2 linked regions of the Tamandua tetradactyla genome follow. The protein of the gene in region 2 binds, or shares a complex with, the protein of the main gene of each other region. Links are inferred from orthologs where the notes say so. Each region holds a gene or a part of one and is shown on either strand. Other genes may lie near its edges.

Region 1 (11,740 bases), on a different chromosome or scaffold from region 2:
CATCCCAAGGAATGCCAAAGACTACCTGTCTCTGCCTGAAGCCAGGAGAGAGACATGGAGCATATTCTTCCCTGCCAATTTCAGAAGGAGCATGGCCCTTCCAAGACCTTGATTTTGGAATTCTAGGCTCCAGAACTATGACATAATACATTTTTGTTGTCTTAAGACACTCAGTTTGTGGTACCTTGTTACATCAGTCCTAGAAAATTAAGGCACTCCTCAAATTGATCTACAGATTTGAGGTAATCCTTATCAAAATCCCAGCTCACTTATTTGCAGAAATGGACAAACTGACCCTAAAATTCATAAGGGCATGCAAGTGATCCAGAACAGACAAAATGATTTTGCAACTGAAGAACAAAATTGGAAGACTCACATTTTCTGATTTGAAAACTTACTATGAAGCTATAGTAGTCAAATTAATGAGGGAGATAATCTTTTCAACAATTGGTGCTTGGGCAATTGGATATCCACATGCAAATGAATGAATTTGAACCCCTACCTCACACCACATACAGGAAATTAACTCAAAACTGATCTAAGACTTAAATGTAAGAGCTACAATTGTAAAACTTTTAAAAGAAAACACAGGAGTAAATCTTCATGACCTATGATTAGGCAATGGTTTCTTAGATATGACACCAAAAGAAAACAATAAAGAAAAAATAGATGGATTGGACTTCAAAAAACATTTTTTTTTAAATTTGTGCATCAAGGACATATTAAGGTTGGGGAGGGGCTTCAGAAAGCACATTTGTTTCCCAGATGTCTTAGCGGACTACCTCCAACTAATTACTAGCTATGTGATCCTCTAGAGATCCTAAGGCACCTAAGTCTTCTGAGAAGTTGAAGGCTATTTAAAGAGGTCAACTGGTCACCCAATCAGATGATCAGAAAGTGGCAGCTCTATAATGTGGCCACCACTAGCCCACACTCCAATACTTTATTGGTCAGTGTGTGTTGTATCTCTGGCTCTATTTTTACTGCGTTCCCAAACTGACCATTTCAAGCTGTCATTCTTTCTTCAGATCAGTAGTATCCTGTGCTGGGCATTAGTCAAGCCCTGCTCTTCTTGCTTTTTGTAGTTTTACAACTTTATATAGTCAACAGAATGCATTAAGTATGTGCTATGCCAGACACTGTGCTAGGCATTTTGGGCTTGGAATGACTATATCTAAAGTTACTTTTGCAAATATTCATGTTTAGTTCTCTCTCTTAGCTACCTGGGAGTGGATGTTCGGCATCCTTGGCTGCTGGATGTTCCCTGGCACAGCTTTCAGTCTCATTTCTCTTGTACTGATCTTACATATATTTTATAGTAGTAGTAGGTTTACAGAAATAAAAACACGCAGATGGTAGAGTTCCCATACACACACACACACACACACACACACACACACACATGCACAGAGTTTTCCCCATTATTAACATTTTGCATTAATGTAGTATGTTACAATTGTTGAAACAATATTACTATAATTATATTAATTATAGTCTATAGTTTACATTAGGATTCCTTCTTTGTGTTGTACACGCCTATGGATAACTTTAAAAACTTTTTTTCTGATAACATGAATACAACCTAAATTTCCTGTTTAATCTACTTTTAATCGTACAGTTCAGTGATGTTAATTACATTCACATTGTTGTGGTATTGATTTTATCATTATGTCTCTCAGGGTTCTCTCAGTGTTTTGATGTGCTTCTTATGCATCCCTTAAAAGCGTAATTTTGCACACACCAGTGCAAAGAACACCGCCCAGTAATAGCGGCCAGCTATTGTGCATATTTTCCGTGCAATCAGGTAAGTGCAATGAGATTAGTAAATTACATTATCTCATCTCATCCTTAAAAAGAAATACAGTAGATATTATTAATGTGCTCATTTTACAGAGGCAGAAACTGGAGCATAGAGAGATGAAGTAACTTTTCCAAGAGGCTAACCCAGGTCCTTCGCACTACAAATCTTGTGTGTCTGAACATGACATCAGACTCTGCTTTATTACAATGCTCATAAAGGTCAGCCTGAATCATCAAAGAGAGGTCAAAATATGCCCAATGCCTTTCATTTAAGAAGAAGGAAAATTATGATATACTTTTTAGAAAGATTTCCATCCAAAGAAGCTAAAAGGATTTTAAGTATTGGTGCTTAAAAGGGTAAGCATTAATTAGCCGGAAAATCCACTTTGGTAGAACAACTCATTCCCCAATAATGCCAGACACAGGAAGGGTTTCTATATCATCAAGCATTCTTAGAATTGCAAAGAAGCTCAGAATACCTTCTGACAGCTTCTGAGTCCAGAAACCATTGGGTACTTCTTCATCTTTTATTTGAAAAATGAAAAAGAAAACATCATGATCTGTTCCACAGTAGAAATCATTCTATAGGTTTTTAAGTGGTCTCAAGCCACATCTACCTGAAAACCACACAGCTCCAATTGGGCAATTGGGAAACCTGGAATAAAATATTCGGAGAAAAGTGTATCGTGATGATGGCAGTAACTATAAAAATTGTGAAGGAAGCAAACTTTATCTGGGACAAAGCTATTACTGCTAATGATAACAATAATAGCTGCGTGTTGGAGAATACAAGCTACATGCAAGGTGCTCTTCCAAGGGCTTTATATATGTATGTATGAATTTATTGAAACTCACCCAAATCTTACAACATAGGTACCACTAATATTCCCATTTTCTAGGCATAGAAAGGTTAAGTAATGTGCCCAAGGTCAGAAAACTACTGGTGAGAGAGGACTGAGATTTGAACCCAAGCAGTCTGGCTCCAGAGACCATGCTCTGAACCATTCCAAATGTTGCTTTCCCACAAGTACTACTACTAGAACTTGTCCACTCATGCAGAGCACTTCTAACTTCCCCGGCCCCGTGCTGAGCACTCTGCATACATTATCTCAGAGCCCTTATGAGGTTGGAGCTCTTAGTCCTAAATTATTTCGCAGTATCTCATTTGATCCTTAAAATAGATATTATTGATGTCTCTATTTTACTGATTAAAACACTAAGGCAAAGACAAGTTAAATAACTTGACACAGTGGTGAAGGTATCAGCTCTCAGCAACACTCCCTAAACATATAATAAAATATATATATAATATATATAGTGCAACATTATTTAATTTTATATATAACACAAATAGTGCACTCTAATTTAATATACAATTTCTACCTCAGGGACAGTTTCTCCTAGCATTTCAAGGCCTCTCTTTCAGAGTGCTAATGGGAAAAAAAATGACAATGGGGGATTAGCAGTGACCTTCTCCAGCCAAGCGTCCACTTTTGGCTCCCCATAGTAAAGAAGCGTACTCACTCAAGCTCTGTCGCTGTAAGACTGCTCTCAGTGCTTGGGTGCTGTATTTAAGAGAAATCATTTTCTGAGTACTTATTATTTCTTTAGAACTTGCTTCTGGAGAAAACAGGCTAGCAATCCACTACTGGGGACAACCACCGACCTCAGTTGTGGTTTCCCATAAAATGCTACCTCTGTTTAACTCAGTGGCCACTGACAGTGAAAACAAACCAAGTACTTTTACTCCAAGGCGATCTGTCAGCAGAGTGAAAAATGACGACAAGAAGCCAGGCAACCTGGCTAGGCTTACCTCCACGTGAAGTGTTGCACATCCTTTCAGGAAGTCATTAATATTGTTGGTACAGTCTGCTTCATTTTGGGGCTCCAGACAATACTAGAGAAACATAATCAAATGTCACTTGGAGACTGTCATCCCATGCCAAGCAGACCATATTCATCATTCGTTGATAACTAGATAAGGTAGGCTTTTTAAGGCAGGGGACAATGCTGCTGTCAAACCAGGAAGAGAAATAACCACTGACGGAAGTGATGCAAAAATCTAAACGGTCAGTTTATGTTTCAAATGTCACCAAACCTTTAGTCCCAAGCCATCTCTACTTAAAAATTTTTTCTCATGCCTTCTGCCAGAGTGTGATGATAGCAAATCAGAGAGACCACAACCATTTTTTGAAGTTTGGTCTTGCTTTCAAACAAGGAGGCAATACCCGATTCCTCCCTCCCTGCTCCTCATGATGATTTATTAAAGTTACATTTTCCCCTATGCTGCTCTTGACATTTTATCACATTTCTCCACATTTAATCACCACTTTATCATTGTTTCTCATGTTTAAGAAATGATAAGTAGCTCTATTAGCTCACTAAAAATGCAAACTGGTTCATAAGGCAGAAGAGCTATACTCAGTCACATTCCTTGCTAGCGTTCAGAAAATAATCATAGGACTTCACCTTTAAACTTACTTAAGGTGCCTACTTTAGAAATCATCCACGCTCATGATCATGAGTTTCCAACATTTAAAATCTTGGAGTTTTAAAAGAGGGTAAGTTTAGTTTCACTTTGAATGCATGTTGCATTTGAAACATATATTTGATTTCTCTTGTTTTTACAAACCTTAAGTGATATTTTGGATTCTTTCTCTTCCTTACAAAATCATCTCTCCCTTGATGGATAGTTCATCTTTTTTTTTGTAAAGGAAATCTACATTGATCATAGTCAAACTGTCAGCAAACACCATCGATATTTGTTATAAATCATCTCATTATTCCAGAGGCATATATGCACCCCACATTCCAAACATGCATCTTTATAGCAGAATCAGTTTGTGATATGAGTATTCTCCTTTGTCTTCTGTTGCCAGTGGTATAATAGGATTTTACCACACTGATACTTGGGTTCTAATTACTAAAAGATAAAATTTCATTTTCTGACTTTTTCTAACTTCAAAAACAGTAAGAAAGAATATCTAACGCTTAGAAAGATAATGAAGTAGGAGATTCTCATGACCTGGACAATAGAAAATTCCAAGGGCTTCATTATTACTGCTCTCTGGTACTAGGCAATCCCAAAGATACTACAAATTTACCTTACCTTTTCCGCTGAGCCAGGAATAAGTCTGTTGATCAGTTTGCACAGAACTACCCCATTTTTCAGCGAGGACTTCAAGAACTCCTCCGGATCACAGATGGTCTTTTTGGGAGAATCTAAAACTCCCAAAGATATAAGCCATGTCACGATTCGCTCTTCTGGATTCATTACTGAGGACTGTACACTCCGAACAGCTCTCTGGGGCAGCTGCAAGGACTAAGCCACATCCGCGATTGCATCTGCTGTTGTCTTCCTTTTTATGAGTTCTCTGTTGGGGCTTGCAGAGCAAAGTTTTAAAACAACTTTTCTTAGACAACAGTGGAACCCACTCAAAATTTGGACTTTTAAAATCACAGAGACCACATTTAAAGATGCAGACAGAATGGACACCACTGGTTTTCTTTTTCAAAACCTTCAAAACAAATTCACTAGGATAAAAAAAAAAGAACACCACACAGGCATACACATGCACACGCGCGCGCGCACACACACACACACACACACACAATGCAAGAAGCTGTAAGGGAAGGAAGTAGGAGGATGCTGGGGAGGGAGGAGAGAGAAGAGAGCAAGTGCTTTTGGAAAATAGAGGTGAAACAGCACTTCAGGGGACCTTGGAAATGAGACACTTATGGTCCAGTCTGGGAAAAGGCTGTCAATAAATAGTCTAGTCCCAGTGAAAATCTGGCTTCTGTCAGGAAGAGGATGCCAACTGGCTCTTAGGTCAGACAGATCTGAGCCTCATGGGGAGCTGTGCTGGAACAACAGGGCTCAAAGAAGGTAGGCTGAGAAAATACTTCCAAGAAATGGCTGGGCTTCCTCATAACTGTCTCTCAGAGATGGTGTATCATGCTCATTCTTTACAAAAGACGTTGAGTTGCATGGCACAACGTGCCAAATGAATGAAGATTGTGCCTGCTGTCAGCCATTCTTGTGTATAAGCAGAAGCTAGAAGAATGACATTTTACATTGCAGCCAAAAAGCTATGTTTAGGGAAATAAGCTAAGGATAACATCTGACATCCTGTTTACTTGCATTCTTTAGCAATTCTTTTTCTGGACCTGGTTCCAATACACAATCCAGCTGCAGTCCCCTTAGCAAAGACAGTCATACAAGCGGGTAAAACACACTTGAAAACAGAATGTTTGAGAATAAAAGAGCACTTTGTCTACTGTCTACACAGCCTGGAAGGTGGATGCTTTCCCAAAGAATACCTTGCACTAAAAATAAAAACAGCAAGCAATCCTCATTACCCTCAAACATTTTCAGAACCAGTTGAAATAGTCAGATTACTGGGAAATTTATCACAAGGCCGATTTTGAGAGCATCGACCTATATTGGCAAATACATGGCATTCATACCACCACATGGGAGACAGTGCCAATCAATTACAGTTCTTTCCTGCTAAAGTTCAGAATCTTTCTCAACACAGTACAACCAAATAATCAGCTTAGATCACCCTGCTAAACATTTCAAAGCTGCCCCTTCTGTTCCTGTCATAATACTTATCACAATTTACTGATATTACTTGATCTAACTTCCCTGCCAGAATGTAAGATCCCTATAGTAGGGATCTTATCTGTCTTTTTTAGTGCTGTGTTCCCAGCAGAGTGCCTGGTACACAGTAGATGCTCAAAAATGCTGATTGAATGAATGAATATATTTATATGGTATCCCTGGCCTAGACACCACCTGACTATAACAAGGATTTTTTTGTTTGTTGGTTTATTGTTTTTTTCATGGTTTCAAACAAAATTTTTCCTTTTAACAACTTAATTGAAGGATTACTGATGCACAATCAACTGTACATATTTAAGCTATGTGATTCAATGGGTTTTAGCAAATGTGTACAAATGAAAACATCACCACAATTAAGATAAAGCTTTCCATCACCCTTTTATTAGGGTTCTCTAAGGAAAATAGAACTGACAGGTGATATCTGTAAATATGAGATTTTATAAAATTATCCCACATGACTGTGGGGATGTAAAAATCCAAATTCCATAGGGCAGGCTGTAAGCTAGGAACTCTGATGAAAGTTTCCATGAATTCCCTAGGAGAAGCTGGCTGGCTGAAGTAGAGATGGAAGTTCTCTTTTCTGACTGCTGAAGTCATCACTTCATCTTTAAAACCTTCAACTGATTGGATGAGATGCGTCTCATTGTTGAAGACAATCTCCTCAGTTGATTGTAGTTGTAATCAGTCAAACAATCAGCTTACTGATGATTTAAGTTTACAAAATGTCCTAACAGTAACAATCAGGCCAGTGCTTGGCTTGACCAAATAACTGAACAGTAGCATGTGGCCAGTTTGACACATGAACCTAACCATCACAACCCCCCAAAGTTTCCTTGTGTCTTTTCAACCCCTTCCTGCCAAGAACCTCTGCCCTGAATCTGAGATGAATACTAATCTGCTTTCTGTCCCTGTACATAAGTTTGTACTTTCCAGCAGTTTATATAAATGGAAGCATACAGTATGGTGCTTTCTTTCATCTGGCTTCTTTCCCTCAACATCATTATTTTGAGATTTATCCATATTGCTGTGTCTATAATAAGAATTTGACCTCCATGTGCTTGGTTTGATATAATTATGCTTACAAGCAAAATAAGTACAGTCAATCAAAAGCTTTAATTTTGACCCAGTGCCAAATCTATGCAATGGAAGTAACAAAAAAAAAAAAAAAAAACATTTGCTTATAAATGAAATTCCAAAATCTGACCTACTTAAACATACTTTTATATGTCATTTGGACAGCTTTCACAATTGCTCATCAAAATTTACTCTACAGACAAACAAAATCTGGCAATGTTATTGAGATTTTACTTGTATTTTCTGATAAAGAACAAAGTTTGAGTAATTTCCATACTCAGCCAAGTTTGAAATAGGCTTCAACCCACTGAAGTTGCCCAGGTAAAAATATTCCTCATTTTTGACACTGGTGAGTTTCAATATACATAAAATAAAATAAAAAATACAAGGCCACTTTCTCAAGATGGAAGAAACAATTCTATGGTATGAAGCTTGGAGGATAGGGTGGCAAAATGGTAAAAATGTCAAGAAAGCAAGGAATGTTGGGGCAGCAATAAGCATATAGGTGAAATGAGTAACTATGGAGCCCAGCCTGGGTAGGTATTCAAATTTGCTAGCTTCCAGAATGCAATATACCAGTGTTATGATGAAGTCATGTGTCAAATTGGCCAGGTGGTGGTTTCTGTTTGTCTGGTTGGGCAAGTGCTGGCCTGTCTTTTGCTATGAGGACATTTCATAGAATTAAATCATGAGCACATCGGATAAATTCACAGCTGATTCCATTTATAATCAGCCCAGGGGAGTGTCTTCTTTAATGAGTAATGCTTAATCTAATCACTGGAAGCCTTTTAAGGAGGATTCAGAAGAGATAGGCTCTCTTCTTGCTTCGGCCGGCAAGCCTCTCCTGGGGAGTTTGTCCAGACCCTCCATCAGAGTTGTCAGCTTCACAGCCTGCCCTGCAGATTTTGGACTCTATGTTCCCATGGTTACATGAGATACTTTTATAAATTTTATATTTACGAATATTTCCTGTTGATTCTGTTTCTCTAGAGAGCCCTAACTAATACAACCAGAAACAGAATGGCGTTTAAAAAGGGGAATTTATTAAGTTGCAAGTTTATAGTTCTAAGGCCAAGCAAATGTCCCAGTTAAAGCAAGTCTATAAAAATGTCCAAACCATGGTGCCAACAAGAGGTAACCTTCACTCAAGAAAGGCTGATAAGTTCAGGGTTTCTCTCTCAACTGGAAAGGCACATGGCGAACATAGCAACATCTGCTAGCTTTCTCCTCCAGTCTTCTTGTTTCATGAAGCTCCCCTAGGGGTGTTTTCCTTCTTCATCTCCAGAGGTCTTTGGCTACATGGGCTCTGTGGTTCTCATGTCTCTGTCAAGGCTTTCCAGCTTTTTGCAAAATGCTTCCTCTTTTAAAGGATTCCAGTAAAATAATCAAGACCCACCTGGAATGGGTAGAGTCACATCTCCCTCTAATGAAAAGTTAATACCCACAATTGGGCGAGTCACATCTCCATGGAGATAATCTAATCATGTTTCCAACATACAGTACTAAATAGGGTTTAAATGGCTGCTCCCACAAGATTGAATCAGGATTAAAAAATGACTTTTCGAGGGTTCATAATCCTTTCAAACCAGCATGGTAGGGAAGCAAGTGAAAAAAGGAGTGAAGTAACTGGCAGAATAGAGAGTGGGTAAAAGACTGGATTCACAGTTATGACAAAACAGTGAGCTTCACACAAGAGCAAAAGAAGCAAAGGTCTCTCACTCTACTTCAGATCCTTAGAACTATACACTCTGGGCCAAAGAACCTACCTCCTCACTCCCCCATCTCTATTCCTTCTCCTTAACATGCTGTCTAGCAGAGCAGTTTGTTGATTTCCCCAAAACACCTCTCTGATAGTGTAATACCCCTGCTTAAAATCCCTCAAAAGTTCTCCATTGCCTAAGGTACTAATTTTCAAATGAGAGCATACATGATAATCACCTCCTTTGAGCAAGGGAGGAGAAAGAAATGAGAGGGTAGAGCTTGACCCAAAAAAGGTAACACATTTTTTAAAAAAGGGTTTGTAGGAAACAAGGGAAATGTACTATTTGTTATAACTGGATGATGGGTATACTGGTGTCTGTTATGATATTTAATTTGCTTTTATGTACTTGAAGTATTGATAATTAATTTTTTCTTTTAAATCTACTGGTACACTTGTTAAAAAGAAGATTTCTTGGCCCTGAAGTATTCCCAGATACCGCAGTTTAGAAAGTTGTGATGGTGCAAAAGAATCTGTATTATTTAAGCTATCCTATTTGATTCTGATACAGGTGGACCAAGGATTACAATTGGAAGAACAAATTGATTTATCACCCTCCAACCCATCCCAATTTCAGCCAACACCCTGGGTCATTTGAATATCCACAAGAACAACAATCCAACATCATGACCATTCAGTTCCTTGACCTCCTGTATCAGTATTGGTTTGTTATTTCTCACTTCCTCTTTTTGCTTGCTCTGTGAAAACGGCCCTGGGAACTTTAAATATTTTTTACTTTGCCAGATGGCATGAATCTAAATTTTATCAGTACAGGGTGGTGGAGAGACTTTGCAGGAAGAAGGGGTTTACTTCCTGTTTCCTGTGTGCTCACTCTGCAGGCCCCTGCAGAGCTCCCAGCCTTTTTAGTGCCCACCTTCTGCAGCATTGGGTTCCCCAATGCACAGCAAGCATCAACTTCCCCTGGTTTTGTAGCAGAGTGCCTCTGGTGAGACACCACTCCTGAGAATGGAAAATCAGCACCCTGGAAGGTACATTTTCTGCAAATTCTAGAGGGCAGATGTTGAGAAAGTTCCACCAACTCAGCACCATGGCAATTTCTCTATCAAGGTCTGAATCTTCAGCCCTGGGTGAGGGGAGGGCTCTATTTTAGCTCTAAGGATAGTGACTATTATACATTATTTTTATATTATATCTGCTGTTCTTGTATTCGTTAGAGTTCTCTTTACTTCTTACTAGCCAATCCCTCATTATTCCAATCCCCTATTATAATTAATAATGTGTTATTGCTCAAATTTCCCTGTTCAAATTACTATGTAATTTCTCTCTCCTGATTGGCCCAAGAGTATCTTCAATAAACTCTTCCTGACCACCTCATCCACCCACTTGCAACATATACTTACTTTATCATCACACAAACTTCTCTGCCTTCTTAACCATGACTTTAAACATTTCATTCTCTAACCAAAACCTACCATCTTTCCAGCTTGCTGTTTCATTACTATCACTACAACTATTCCTTGACCTTATTGTTTTCCAAAACCCTTATTGAAAATGCATGCATCCACATACAGGGTTTGATTTTCCATTGCTGCATATCATAGCTGACAATTAATATTTCAGACTTTTGCAGTTTTGCTATTTTCATGGGTATGAAATTTACAATTCTATGATTATTATGAAGTTGATCACTTTTAATATATTTATTAGTAATGCACGTTTTCTCTTCTGTAAAATATTTTTTCAATTCTATTGCCCATTTTTCTATTAGGTTATATATTTTTTAACTTTTTTATTGTATAGTATAATATATAGACAAAGCAAAGAAGTAAAAAAGGAATAGTTTTCAAAGTACTCTTCAACAAGTAGTTGCAGGACAGATCCCAGAGTTTGTCATGGGCTACCATACAATCCTCTCAGATTTTTCCTTCTAACTGCTCCAGAATATAGGCTAGAAGGCTTAAATATTTTTATCAGTTTATATTTTGTTATTGATTTGTAAAGTTTGTTATACGTTATTGTATTAGTTAAGGTTCTCTAGAGAGACAGAATCAACAGGGAACACTTGCAAATATAAAATTTATGAAAGTGTCTCACGTGACCGTAGGAACGCAGAGTCCAAAATCCACAGGGCAGGCTGCGAAGCCGATGACTCTGATGGATGGCCTGGATGAACTCCACAGGAGAGGCTCACCAGCCAAAGCAGGAATGGAACCTGTCTCCTCTGAGTCCTCCTTAAAAGGCTTCCCATGATTAGATTTAGCATCACTAATTGCAGAAGACACTCCCCTTTGGCTGATTACAAATGGAATCAGCTGTGGATGTAGCTGACGTGATCATGACCTAATCCTATGAAATGTCCTCATTGCAACAGACAGGCCAGCGCTTGCCCAATCAGATAAACAGGTACCACAACTTGGCCAAGTTGACACCTGTCCCTAACCATGACAGTTATGGATACTAACCCTTTCTTGCGTGCATGTGTTTGCAAATATTTTCTTCCACTGCTGTCTTTTCATTTTATG
Region 2 (11,561 bases):
CTGTTTGAGCAGGTGCATAAGTTCTAGGGCTTCAGCCTGCTGAGATGGGGACATCCTGGGAGATGGTTCCTGGGCTGGTTCACCTGTCTTCCTTGGTGGGCTCTTCAGGGATTGAGCTCCCTCCCTCCAGCTGGAACCCAAGCCAGTGCCAGGCACGAAACGGTTCACAGATGACCAGGCAGGTCTGCTTGGGGTGGGGGTTCTCCGGCCTCATGCTGGGACCATATGCCACCCCTCTGGTTGGCCGGTGGGTGTGGAACCTTCTTGGCCTATCACTGGCAAGGGAGGAAAGAACCCTGGGACCTTGAGCCTTAGCCCCAGGCCCAGGCTGGGGGAGCAGGGAGGGGCTTTGGGCCTGGCCGGGGCCCAGGGCCCACCTGGAGCTTGGCAGTGTTTCTGGGTCAGGGCGGGGAGAGGAAGTACACGGAGGGAGTTGCTCCAGGCCTGGCCATCTGGGCTGCAATGCTGCCTGCACGGGTGGGGGTGGGGAGGGAGAGGCCAGGGCTGGGTCCTGGAGAGTGGATCTCAGCCTCCCCCAACCCCAGGGGTTGGGTCACTGGAATGGAGCTCTGAGCTTTGGGGGTCCAGGGCTGACTGTCCTGTGAGCGTGGAAGCTGGGAGCACCTCTGGGCAGCTGAGCAGGCATCAGGCAGTGCGAGAGGGATGATTCAGGCAACCGAAGGGGAGGGGGGCTTTGGCAGCTGTATTTAACTCCCGAAATGGAGCCCCAGCTTAACCCCAATACCCATCTGTGACCTCAGGTGGGTCTCTCTCCCTTCTGGGCCTCAGTTTCCCTGACTACTCAGTGCTGGGGTGGGAGAGTCCATTATGATTGGAAACTGAGGCCAGATCCTACTTAGTGAGGAATTCAGGCAGGGGCCTCTGGGCAAGCAGCTGTCTTTCAGGGCCTAGACTTCCCTAGTTCAATCACTTACTCTGACTGTGTCCTTCCTGCTGTGGCATTCCAGGATTTTATGATGGGCTGTTTCCAGGGAGATCTGACCTCTTCTCTGGGCCCCTGGAGGGCAGGAGGAAACACTTCTGTGGTGGTTTGGGGACTCAGGGAGAGTTCTGGGCCTGATAGAATCCCAGGGAGGTGGGCCTGGCAGAGTTGCCTCATCCCCATTTAACATGTGGAGGCCCAGAGATGTCAAGGGGCTTTCTTTGGGCCACATAGCGTGACCGCCCCCCCCCCCCCCCCAGGTCCCTCCACCCCTCACTGCCCTTCCATCCCTCTTAGAGCTCTGTTCACCCAAGGATTCACCATCGGGCCCAGCCTTGATTGAATTGATTTAAAAAATACTCACCCTTCCCAAGGCCCTGTGTCTGTGAGCTTCCAAATGTCCATGCTTGGCTAGTCCCCCACTTCCATCTGTGCTGAGAGGGGCAGAGTCATCCAAGACTGGGATAATCTCCACCCAGACCTGGCCATTTTCTGCAAAGGATGCCATTAAATTCACTGGTGGATTTAGGGAGGAAGTCTGGGGGTAGTGGAGGCGGTAGACACCTAGTTTGTCACCAGGTATCTGAGCAGGACCTCACAGGGCCTGTCAGCATCTCTTGGCATGACGGGAGGCCCAGCCCCAGACACCCCCAACCCGCCACCCCCCACCCCACCTCCCAAATGATGGTCCTACTCTTGGTCCTACCTTGTTCCCGGATGAATGGTGGACACAGGAAGCCGTCACTAACTGTTAGACGTTAGACGGGCTGCCTCGCAGGGCAGAGGCCATGACCTTAACCATGAATGCCCTCTACTCCCCCCACCTCTGCCCAGGGGCCCAGTGACTCAAAGGCTGAGACTGGCTTGGGAGGTGGATCTGTAGAGGCTGCCTGGCAGGGGGCTTCCCCTGCTTGTGCTGCCTGCCCGCCTTCAGACAGGAAACCCGACAGGTCTGAGTTCTGCAGACATCCATTGTTTGGGGCCTGATGTGGGCTCTGATGTTTCCCCTGTCAGACTCCCCACCCCCAGTCCAGGCCTCCTTCTGTCCCTTGCCAAGTCGGATTTTAAGGAAAGCTCTAGGCTGTTGCCCTCCCCCGACTCTGTGCATCCTGCTCAGTGTGTGACAAACCTCCTCACCAGCCAGCCTGGGTTCAGTTTCTGCCTCCACCTCTTACAAGCCCTGTGACCTTGGGCCTCTCTGCTCCCAGTATTTTCTGTGAAATGAAGGCGGTAATGTCTGCCTCGTAGGTTTGTTGTGAAAGCAAATGAGATGATGTGTAAATGAGATGAATGCTGAGAACAGGGTCTTGGCTTCTGGTAAATTCGGAATACACTTTAGCTTCCATTATTATTATTAAGTCCAAACTACACCCTCATGCAAACTTTTCAAGGTCAAACTTGTGACCTTCCTTGGTTGGGGAGGTCGTGGATTCTGTGGTCCCCTCCAAGCGTGAGCCTCTCTCCTCCCTGGGCAGAGCCTAGTATTTCAGGATGGTCAATTGCTGCTGTTGTTTTCCTCCTATACATATGGCCCCTTCATGCAAGCCAGGTCCTTCTACTTTGTGCTCAGCAGAAGAAATGGGTGATCTATTGATGTTAGAGGCAAAAACTATTCTTTATGGGCTTTTCAAGGGTAAATCTGATGATATATATTTTTTCCCACTTCTTCTTCACTAAGTTTAAACCTAACACCCCCAGGAAGATGTGGCTGCATTGGGCTGACCAGGTGGCCCCTGTCCCCTGCATCTGGGTATCCCTCCTGACCTAGCCCTGGCCTGACCTGGACTTACCTGGACTGTCAGCCCCGTTCTCATGCTGTCCAGCACCTCCAACCCAGCCGGGTGCAGGCCTCCTGCTCCATGGTTCCTTGCCCAAAGGGGGATTCTGTTGATCCATTCTTCCCTGGTCTTCTCCTGTGGCCTCCTGGTGCCCCCATCTTTCAGCTCATTAGTGGGGTATGGCAGGAGCACAATGGAGGGTCTCTCCTGGGGGCTCAGGGCAGACTACTTTAAGGAGATTTGAGCTGGTTCCTGAGAGAAAAGGAGGAGTTTGCCAGGTGGGTGCAGAGAAGAATTTCATGTTAACACACCAACCAGGGCAAAAGGCCAGAGGCGGGAGATAGTGCAGGACCTTTGGAACGTCTCGGGTGGATGGAGCAAGGTGGCTGGAGTGGGGTAGGGCTGCAAAGGGAGGTGGCTGTTGTGACAGAGCTTGGTTCTTCGCAGTACTCTAGGGATCCGCCTGTGGAGGCTTTTGGGGGAGAGGGTAAATGTGGTGGTGGTGGTGGTAGGGGGGTTGTGTTGAGAGCTGATTCCACCAACTGGTTCCCCTATCTGCCACGTACTAAAAAATGCAGATGTCCAGGCCCATCCAGACCTACTGATTCAAACATCTGGGGAGGGGAGGGGCGGGGGACCTGGAAATATGCATGTTTTAATGAGCTCAAGGGAGATGTGGAGGCTATAGAAGCTGTAGTCTTGACCTACCGGAAGCAGCATGTCCGGGAGAAAGGAGCTGGGCCTGTCTGTATCCACCCTAGAGGGAAGAAGACAGAGGTGGGGGAACAGGAGCGCTGACCAGCTGGCTGCTAACCCTGTAGGCCCTGAGGCTTGAAGATCAGCAGGGCCTCTAAAGCTGATGCTGGTTAGAGCAGTCCCAGAGGGCTTTCCCTGGAGGGGTCTGTCACAGAAAGCAGTGTGGGGGTGGGGTGCGGGTGGGGATTTTCAGAACCCCTCCCCACCCCGGCCCAGGCAGTCTCTGGAAGTCTCTGCTGCTTCTGTTCGGAGGGAGGAGGCCCAGGGGCTGCGGGTGGGGGGTAGCAGCACGGGGTGGGTCTGGCTACTCTGAGATTGATTCCATATGCTCTGCTGGGGTGAGCAGGGAGCAGCTTTTGTCTGCCTGCACGCCCTGGGGGTCCCGGGCTGGGAGGAGGGGCAGGAAGCCCAGGCTCCTTCTCCCTCAGCTCCTGCCCTGCCCCCCTTCCTGCACTGTACCCAGCCCCTACTGGCCCACTGGTGGAGACTTTAGACTTCTGCTTGGTGTAGGTGGTAATGCCAACTCCCATCCTAGGGCCGGGAATGTAAATGCTTCTAACAATTCATGAACTGACCGTCCTCCTTGCACGAGATGGATTGGTTGGGAGGCCTTAGCTTCTTTTGGCAGAAAGGGAAACTGAAATACAGAGAGGGACTTGAGGAGTTCAAGCATAAGCTGGGAGATCACACCAGACTTGGGTCTTAGTTTCTGGCTACTTCTTCCCATTCCCCCCTGCCTCTACCCACACAGACCTAAGTCTACATTTGGGGGCCTCAGGACCATTTGCCACTGCCATGATCAGAGTCTGTGGGCAGTGAGCCTCTCATTCCCTTAAGCAAAGGCTGGAACTTGGCTTTCAGATTCCTGCTTTGGGAGGGGAACCAGGCCAGATGAACTCCAGCTCTTGGGAACAGGGCTGTTCCATGCATTCTGTGCGGGGCTCCCCAGGAGACCCCTATTTCCCAAAACTGGTGGGCCTTACTAGGGAGATTATTCATTACTGGAAGTACCAAGGTGTGGATAGGTGGATTCCAGTGGCCAGGCCAGAGAGGATGCCTGCTATGATGACCCACAGTTCACCCAGGTGTGAGCGCTTCCCAGGAGACTTTGCACTTTTAAGAGGCTTCTGTATAACGTCCGCTATTGAAAATGAGACTCGAAGGAGGCTTATGGTGTGCTTGTAGGCAAGGTGGTATTCTACCTTCCCGTGGTGGGATTGGCCAGTATTCTGAGAAGAGGAGCCAGGGAAGTTGTCTTAGCCCTTCCCTGGGGGGTGACTGGGTCTGGAGGTGCAAGACACCCCTTGCCCTGCCCTCCTGGTCTAGGGTCAGCCCCTGGCATCCAGCTGGGATCCAGGCTCCTCTCAACCTAGGGGCCCTCCCTGCTGGCTGAGTGTGGGAGGGGGCGCCCCCCTGTGAGGTACAAAACCTGGCCTGGACTCCTGCCCAGACTGCCCCGTCCCCTCCAGGGCCCCATCGTATCAGGCCCGGGGCACACCATATGGCCTAAGGCACCCACATGTGATCCCTCCCCCTTCTTACACTTGTACTCCTAAGACTGCATATTGGGGGGGTCCCAGGCTAAGACAACTTGCCTCTCTGCCACGGTCTTTCCATGTAAGGGAAAGACCCCTCTGAGGGAATGAAGATCTGGCAGCTTCATATCTGAATGGCTTAAGTGATAAATGCCACTCTGGGGCTGAGGAGGGGAGAGAGGGCCTGGATGGTCAAGGGAGGTTAGAAAGAGGAGTCCCTGGTAAGGTGGACTTTGGCCAGGCAGAGAAAAGTAGGATGGAGGGCAGTCCCTGCTGGCAGTAGAGCAAATAAAAGTGAGAAGTTGGGGGAGCAGAGAACACGAGACTGTGGTTTGGTTGGGTCAGATAGTTGGAACCCCACACGCTAGAGCAGGAGGTTTGGGCTTGTTGCTGTTGGGCTTTGGGAAGCCACAGAAGATTCTTGAGCTGGGGAGTGAGAAATCCAAATGCACAGAGAGAGTTGGGACCCAGCCTCAGTTTCCCATCTCTACAGCAGGATAGGAATTGTTCTGCCCTCCCGGAAGGCCCACCAGAGCTGCAGTAAATGTCCAGGGGGGTGCGGACTTCACTGCATCTGTGCTATTTTATGTATGGGACTCCCTGGTGGAGTGGGGAAAGGGGATTCCAAATCGAAGGGTGCAAGATGTTCAGATTTGGTGATGCCGACTGCATACATAGGTATTCATTATGTTCTCTCCACTTTTTGTGTGCTTGAAATATACACTATCATTTTAATTATAGGAAAGTAATGTTTGTATCAAATGGGACAATTTTTAAAATGTAAAGACTAGGCATGTGTCCTGCGTGAAAGAAGAGTGCTTTCCATCCGGCTGGGGCCTGGGGCCCGCTGAGCGGCGCATTTGCGGGTCGATTCTCAGCGGTGTGAGCTGGGGGCGGCAACGGGCTTCATTCGGACTCTGATCGAAGGTGACGGGTTCCCGGAGCATGGCGTGCTCCTGGCTGCGCTGCGGGTACCCTATGCCCCGTCTCCCGAGCGCGCAGACGGCAGGTCTACACCCGCCGCCCGGATGGGGCGCCCCGCGCGCCCGGGATCCGGCGTCAGGCCCTCAGGCGCGGGGGGGCGGGACCCTCCTGCTTCCCGACGTCAGGGTCTGGGGTCCCGGGGGCACTCCGGGCCGCCTCTCCCCGCTGACTCCAGGCCGGGATTTCTCCCGCGCTGACTTTCCGGGACGGTGCCAGCCCGGCCTCCCGGTCCCCGGCCCCCGCCGCGGGGCCGGCTGCTCGGAGGAGGGGGAGAGGAGGAGGAGTTTGAGCTACTTTGTCGGGCAGCCTTGGCCTCGGCGGCGGCCGCTCGGACGAGCGCGGGAGAACACAGGGACGCCCGCCGGGCCGTCCGGAGCGGGCGATGGGGCCCGTGTGAGCGCGCCCAGGCCCGGTCCGGTGCCCGGCGGGCGGCAGCATGTCCGCGGGCGGCAGCGCCAGGAAGAGCACCGGGAGGCCCTCCTACTACTACCGGCTGCTGAGGCGGCCCCGGCTGCAGCGACAGAGGAGCCGCTCCCGCAGCCGGACCCGGCCTGCCAGGGGTAGGCGCCACCCGGACCCCCTGACCCCCCAGGCCCTCCCGACCGCCACTTCACCACCCTGATGCCCTGGAATGCCAGGGACCCTGAATCCTCCTATCCATTTACGGGGAGCTCCCTCACCTGCCCAGTACCGTGTCTCCCTGACTCCAATTCCACCAGCTTCTCCCGCACCCTCCACTCTTGGGGATCTCCCTTTGCTGTGGGCAGGGAGAAGGGAGATTGGAATCCATGGTTTTCGACCACCGAGCCTTAGTTTACCCAGCTGCAGGGCATTAAAGTGATCCAGGGTGGCTCCTGGCTTTTTCTCTCCTCACCTTCACTGCCCTGGCCTCCCAGCTTAGCCGCCCTCCCAGCCCTGGACTTCTTCCCTTTTCAGGGATTTAACAGGCTCCCCCACCTCTTGGGTGGAGGGACAAGTGGGTGGACTTCAGGGGCCTCGACCCAGGAAAGAGCCGGATGCCGGGTTTGTAGAGATCCCTCCTGGACCCCTTCGCGTTGGTGGGCTTTGAAAGGAGTTTCTCTTTCAAGCCTGGGAGGGAGGGCTGAACTGAAGGGGGAGGTGCAGGCAGCATTTTCTTTTTCCAGTAACTGGATCCTCAGCTGGAAATGTGTGTGATCCAAGCGGGCTGCCTTCAGAGCGGGTGGGGGCTGGGACTTCCTTCCCAGGCTGGGTGGGAGGGAGGGAGGCCCCCTGGGAGGAGGCTATTGAAGGGCCCCTGGGAGCCTGGAGTCCCTGGCAAAGACTCAGGCCTACCCGGAGTGTCCATGGGGAGTCCGGGTCCCCGCCGCCCTCGGTGGGGACTTAGGCCACATTTCCACCTTCAGGTTGTCATGAAGAACAGGACGGCTGGTCCCATGGTCCAAACCCCCTGCACAGAGAGGGGTTTGAGCAATTGCTATACATAGAATCTGGCAGACCTAGGGTCAAATCCTGATCCCTCCGAGTGCTGATTGTGTGACCTAGGCTCTGCAGCCATGCCCCTGAGCCTCAAGTTTACCATCTTTGTGAGAGTATACGAAGTGAGCAGGCAGTCAGCATTAGCTTAGTTTGCTTCCCCACCCCACCCCCTCCAGAACGAGAAAGACTTTTTCCCACAGTCAGGGCTGAGCAACAATAAAACAGGGCTTCCTCAGGAAGTAGTGAGTTCCCCATTCATGGAAGGGTTCAAGCTGAGGCTGGGGTTATACACAGGTGTGTGCTGATGTTCAAGCCTTGAGGGTCTCTCCAGGCCTGTGATCCCACTCCCCTTTCCCTTCCCTGAAGTCATCTCTAGCTTCTACCTCACTTCAGAGTTGAACTCGGAGACCAGTGATCTGTGTTAAAGAACTGGTCACTGTGCTTTGGACAAGTCACTTCCCCTTTCTGACTCTCAGTTTTTTCATCTGTAAAATGGGACTAGCAGTATGTGGAAGATTCAGTAAAGTCCCTACTGTGATAAGGAGGAGTTGTACAACTACCCAATAACACTCACCCCTCTCCTCCTGAACCCACCCCTCCCACCCTCCCCTTGCCTCTGAAATGTTCTGTAAAAGCTTACCCTCCACTTTTAAAAAAAAATCTCAGCCCAGTTCCATCCCTGGCTGCAGAGGCACATAGGGGACCTGGAGTCTCCCTCTGAACCCAGGGGCTTTGTTGACTGGGCAGGGGACAGTCAATGTGTCAGGTCTTCACTGGAGCCCCAGTTCTCAGGCCCCACAGGAGGGAGCCTCTGCTTTGTGTCTCATCCTTGAAGGCGCTCACAACCTGCTGGGGGTGGGGAAGAGACTTGCTGAAGAGGAGTTAGAACTGAGGCAATCAGGGAGCGCTTCACAGAGGAGGTGACATTTGGACTGCTCTCACAAAATGGAAAAGATTTCCTTTGGCAGGAGTAGTGGTTGAATCAGATCTGGTTTCAAGTTGCAGCTCAGCACATAACTCTCCTGGGGTCAGTTACCTCTTCAAGCCTCAGGGTTCTTGTCTAGTAAATGGAGATAATGATGACAGGGTTCTTTAAGGAATGAGAACAAACACATGGAAAGCTAGAAACCAGTGTCTAGGTCCTGGGCTACAGTTGAGTGTGAGCTACTATGGTCCTTTCTCTGGACAGGAGGAAAATGCCTTGGGTGTTGGGGACAAATGGGCAGAATTCTTCCTGGGGCAGGGATGGGGAATGGGTTGGGAAGGGGAACAGGGAACGGTAGTTTGATAAATGGCCTTAAGTGATTGGGAATCATGGGGGTTGGGGTGGGGAAGAGAGCTGCTTGGGAGAATGACTGGGGCAGGGTGTAAGGTGGAGGCTGGAGGTCCCCTGCCCTCTGTAGCAGATACTGACCTCCCTCCAGAGCCCTGACTCTGAGGGGCCACCCTCTCACTAACCCCTCCTGAGGGCAGTGCCCCCATGCAGATGGTAGTGCATGCTGGGGGGGGGGGCTTCCACGTGGCCTTGAGCCAGGTCCTTCCTACCTCAGGCCTCAGTCTCCCTCTCAGCCTGGAAAGTTGGTCCCGTGACTGTGACATCAGACCTCAGAGGAGGGGTGGTTCCCGGTATCCCAGCCCAGCTCAGACACTTGCTCCATATCTATTCTGGCCTCTGCCACTAGCAGGGAAGAAAAATGGCCAAGAACTTGGGGTGGATTTTTGTTCGGAAAAAGCAAAGCGTAGGGAAGAGTGGACTAGAGGTTGGGACCTGCAGCTGATCGGGCCGGGGAAAGGGTTGTGACCAGGCTGCCACCTCTGAGAATGCTCCCTGCCCACTGACCCCCATCGGAGGCATGGGGAGGGGGCTCATTGGAGATTTGAGAGCAGGACCTTGCCCCAGGCAAGGCTGCAAGTGAGGGACAGCATCTGCTGTTGTCTGGGTTTCACCAATGTGGGGTGCAGAGTAAGCCCTAATGTTGGGGGCCACAAAGCTTGACAATGCCAGAGGCATCCTCCTTGGATGGCAAGGATGCTCTGGCCATTTGCCACTGTGCTTGTCATCCTGGAGTCCTGGATTGCATCATTGTGCAATCTTGAAGGTTGCACAATGAACATGGAATTGAGGGGGTCCTGTTCCCTGAAGGATGTCACCAGCCAGGGTGCCTGTCTACATGTCCTTACCGTGGTCAAGGAAAGACTCGTTTACCTGTTTGTCTGAACTTTTTGTCACCCCCAGAGCATTCCTGTCATGATGGGTAAAGTTCTGGCCCATTCATTCCGCCAGCACATGTCTTGAGGACCTACACTATATGCTGGGCTCCAGGTTGGACACCAGGGGACATGGAGATGAATCACACATGCTCCCTGCCCTCACTGAGCCCCAAGTCTGGTGAGGAGGTGACTTGGAGTGCACTGGAGCAGGTGGCCCTTTCTGATGGAATGGAGAGATGGCGAGTGGGAGACGGGCTCAAGTCCAGCTCAGCCATGAATTCGTTATCCATTTCTCCATCCATCAATTGGGGCTAATCTGTCTTGCTACGCCACTGGTGTCAGGGGACCTCTTGGAACTGTAGTGGGTCCATACCCGTGGGAGGCTTTGGTTCCTTTCTTCATGTCTTCATCCATCCACCTGCTGCTTTCCAGGGACCCACATATCGGGTCCGGATGGGGCTCTGGGGACTTGCCAATGTTTTCTCCTAAGATGGTTAAATCCTCCATCGTGCCCACATGTCTCTCCATTTGACAGCTGCTGTATGGCCCTCTTCTTCCACCTGGAAGAATTTGCTGTTATCTGTTCTGTGGGGCCTTGGCAGGGGTTTACAGGAGCCCCCCAATTACTCTGAAGAATAAGCAGGAGAGGCCTGCCTGGGAGATGGTCCCCAGGAGAGCTGGGGCTGCCTCCTGAGGTGGTGGTCCCCTCCCAGGGCTGGAGCATGCAGCTGGGTGGTCCGACCCCTGAGGTCCAGAGGGAGACACTGAGGCACAGAGGAGCTGGGACTATAGCAACATGATCAGGGAGGTTGCTGGTTTGGGTCTTGTCTGGGAGCAACGTTGAGGGAAGGGCCTGTGTGTGCCATTATAGGGAGGGACGGGGACCGTGACCTCTCATGAGGGATCTTGGCTTCAAACAGACTCCAAGAGGCCTCTGGGGCAGCAGTCTAGACCCCAAGGATTGGACAAGCCTGAGAAAAAACCCTGCAAATGGGGGCTGGTTGTGTCTTGTTGCCCTCTAACCCTCAGACATTCCCCTAAATGCCCAAGGCTTGGCTTTCTACCCCCAACTGGGACGAGACTCTGAAATCATGTTTGTGTCCTTTTCTGCCTTGTCTCTCTTTCTGTTCCTGCTGAGACACAATCCTTCCTTTGGAGCTTGGCCCCAGTTTCTGGGGAGCTCACTGCTTCTCGTGACATGTAACATGGGTGAAAACATCTCCTGCTTTCTGAGTCCCTCCTCAGTGTCTGGCATTGCACTGAACTCTGTACCTGAGTAATCTCATTTCCTACTCACAATGACCCCAGTAGATTTATTTTGGTATTATTCTCATTTTACAGGTGAGAAAACTGAGGCCCACCGAGTGAGAGCCTTGTCCAGGTCACACAGCTCAGAAACAGTGGAGCCCAGCTCTGCCTGACTCCGATGTTGAGTTTGTCAGTGTTCCACCTGGCTATTTGTAGGCACACGGGTCTTTCTCAGGCTAGGCCTTGGCTTTGATAAGACTTTCTCTTCTTCTTTGTAATAATGTCCTATCAGATTTTCCCAGGTAGCAACTCCACAGGGTGTATGCAGTCATGAGCTCCCACAATCCTAAACTGTCACTCAGGAGGGAAGCAGGGAAATGACTCCAGCATCTGTGAGTTGCTTACCTTCACTGGCGCAGGTGGGACCCTCAGGTCTGGTCCTCCCTCTCCCTATTTGTGCCCCCTATGTCCTGATCTGATTCATTTTCTGCCAATAATACTGTTTCCTGGGCATGGCTTCAGCTCTGTTTCTGCACCAGGTCCCTTTGTGCTGAGAATTCAGTGTTTCCTGGTGTGAGGTTCCTGGAGCCTGGGCAAGATAACGCCCCAAAGCTATCCTGGCAATAGTGGGAAGCCAGAGACCCCAGT

The links.
Region 1: DAB2IP (region 2) and ARHGEF6 share a complex: the UniProt entries of both Homo sapiens proteins name them as parts of the cytoplasmic complex. The link is inferred for Tamandua tetradactyla from reciprocal best matches to the Homo sapiens genes DAB2IP and ARHGEF6.

The regions. Positions count from the first base shown.
Region 1 is NC_135353.1:22,457,405-22,469,144, reverse strand, and holds the start of ARHGEF6 (rho guanine nucleotide exchange factor 6), read right to left. Parts: upstream 5,409-11,740; 5' UTR 5,075-5,408; coding exon 4,910-5,074; intron 3,698-4,909; coding exon 3,614-3,697; intron 1-3,613. UniProt on the Homo sapiens protein: Acts as a RAC1 guanine nucleotide exchange factor (GEF).
Region 2 is NC_135328.1:35,525,802-35,537,362, reverse strand, and holds the start of DAB2IP (disabled homolog 2-interacting protein), read left to right. Parts: upstream 1-6,432; coding exon 6,433-6,556; intron 6,557-11,561. UniProt on the Homo sapiens protein: Functions as a scaffold protein implicated in the regulation of a large spectrum of both general and specialized signaling pathways.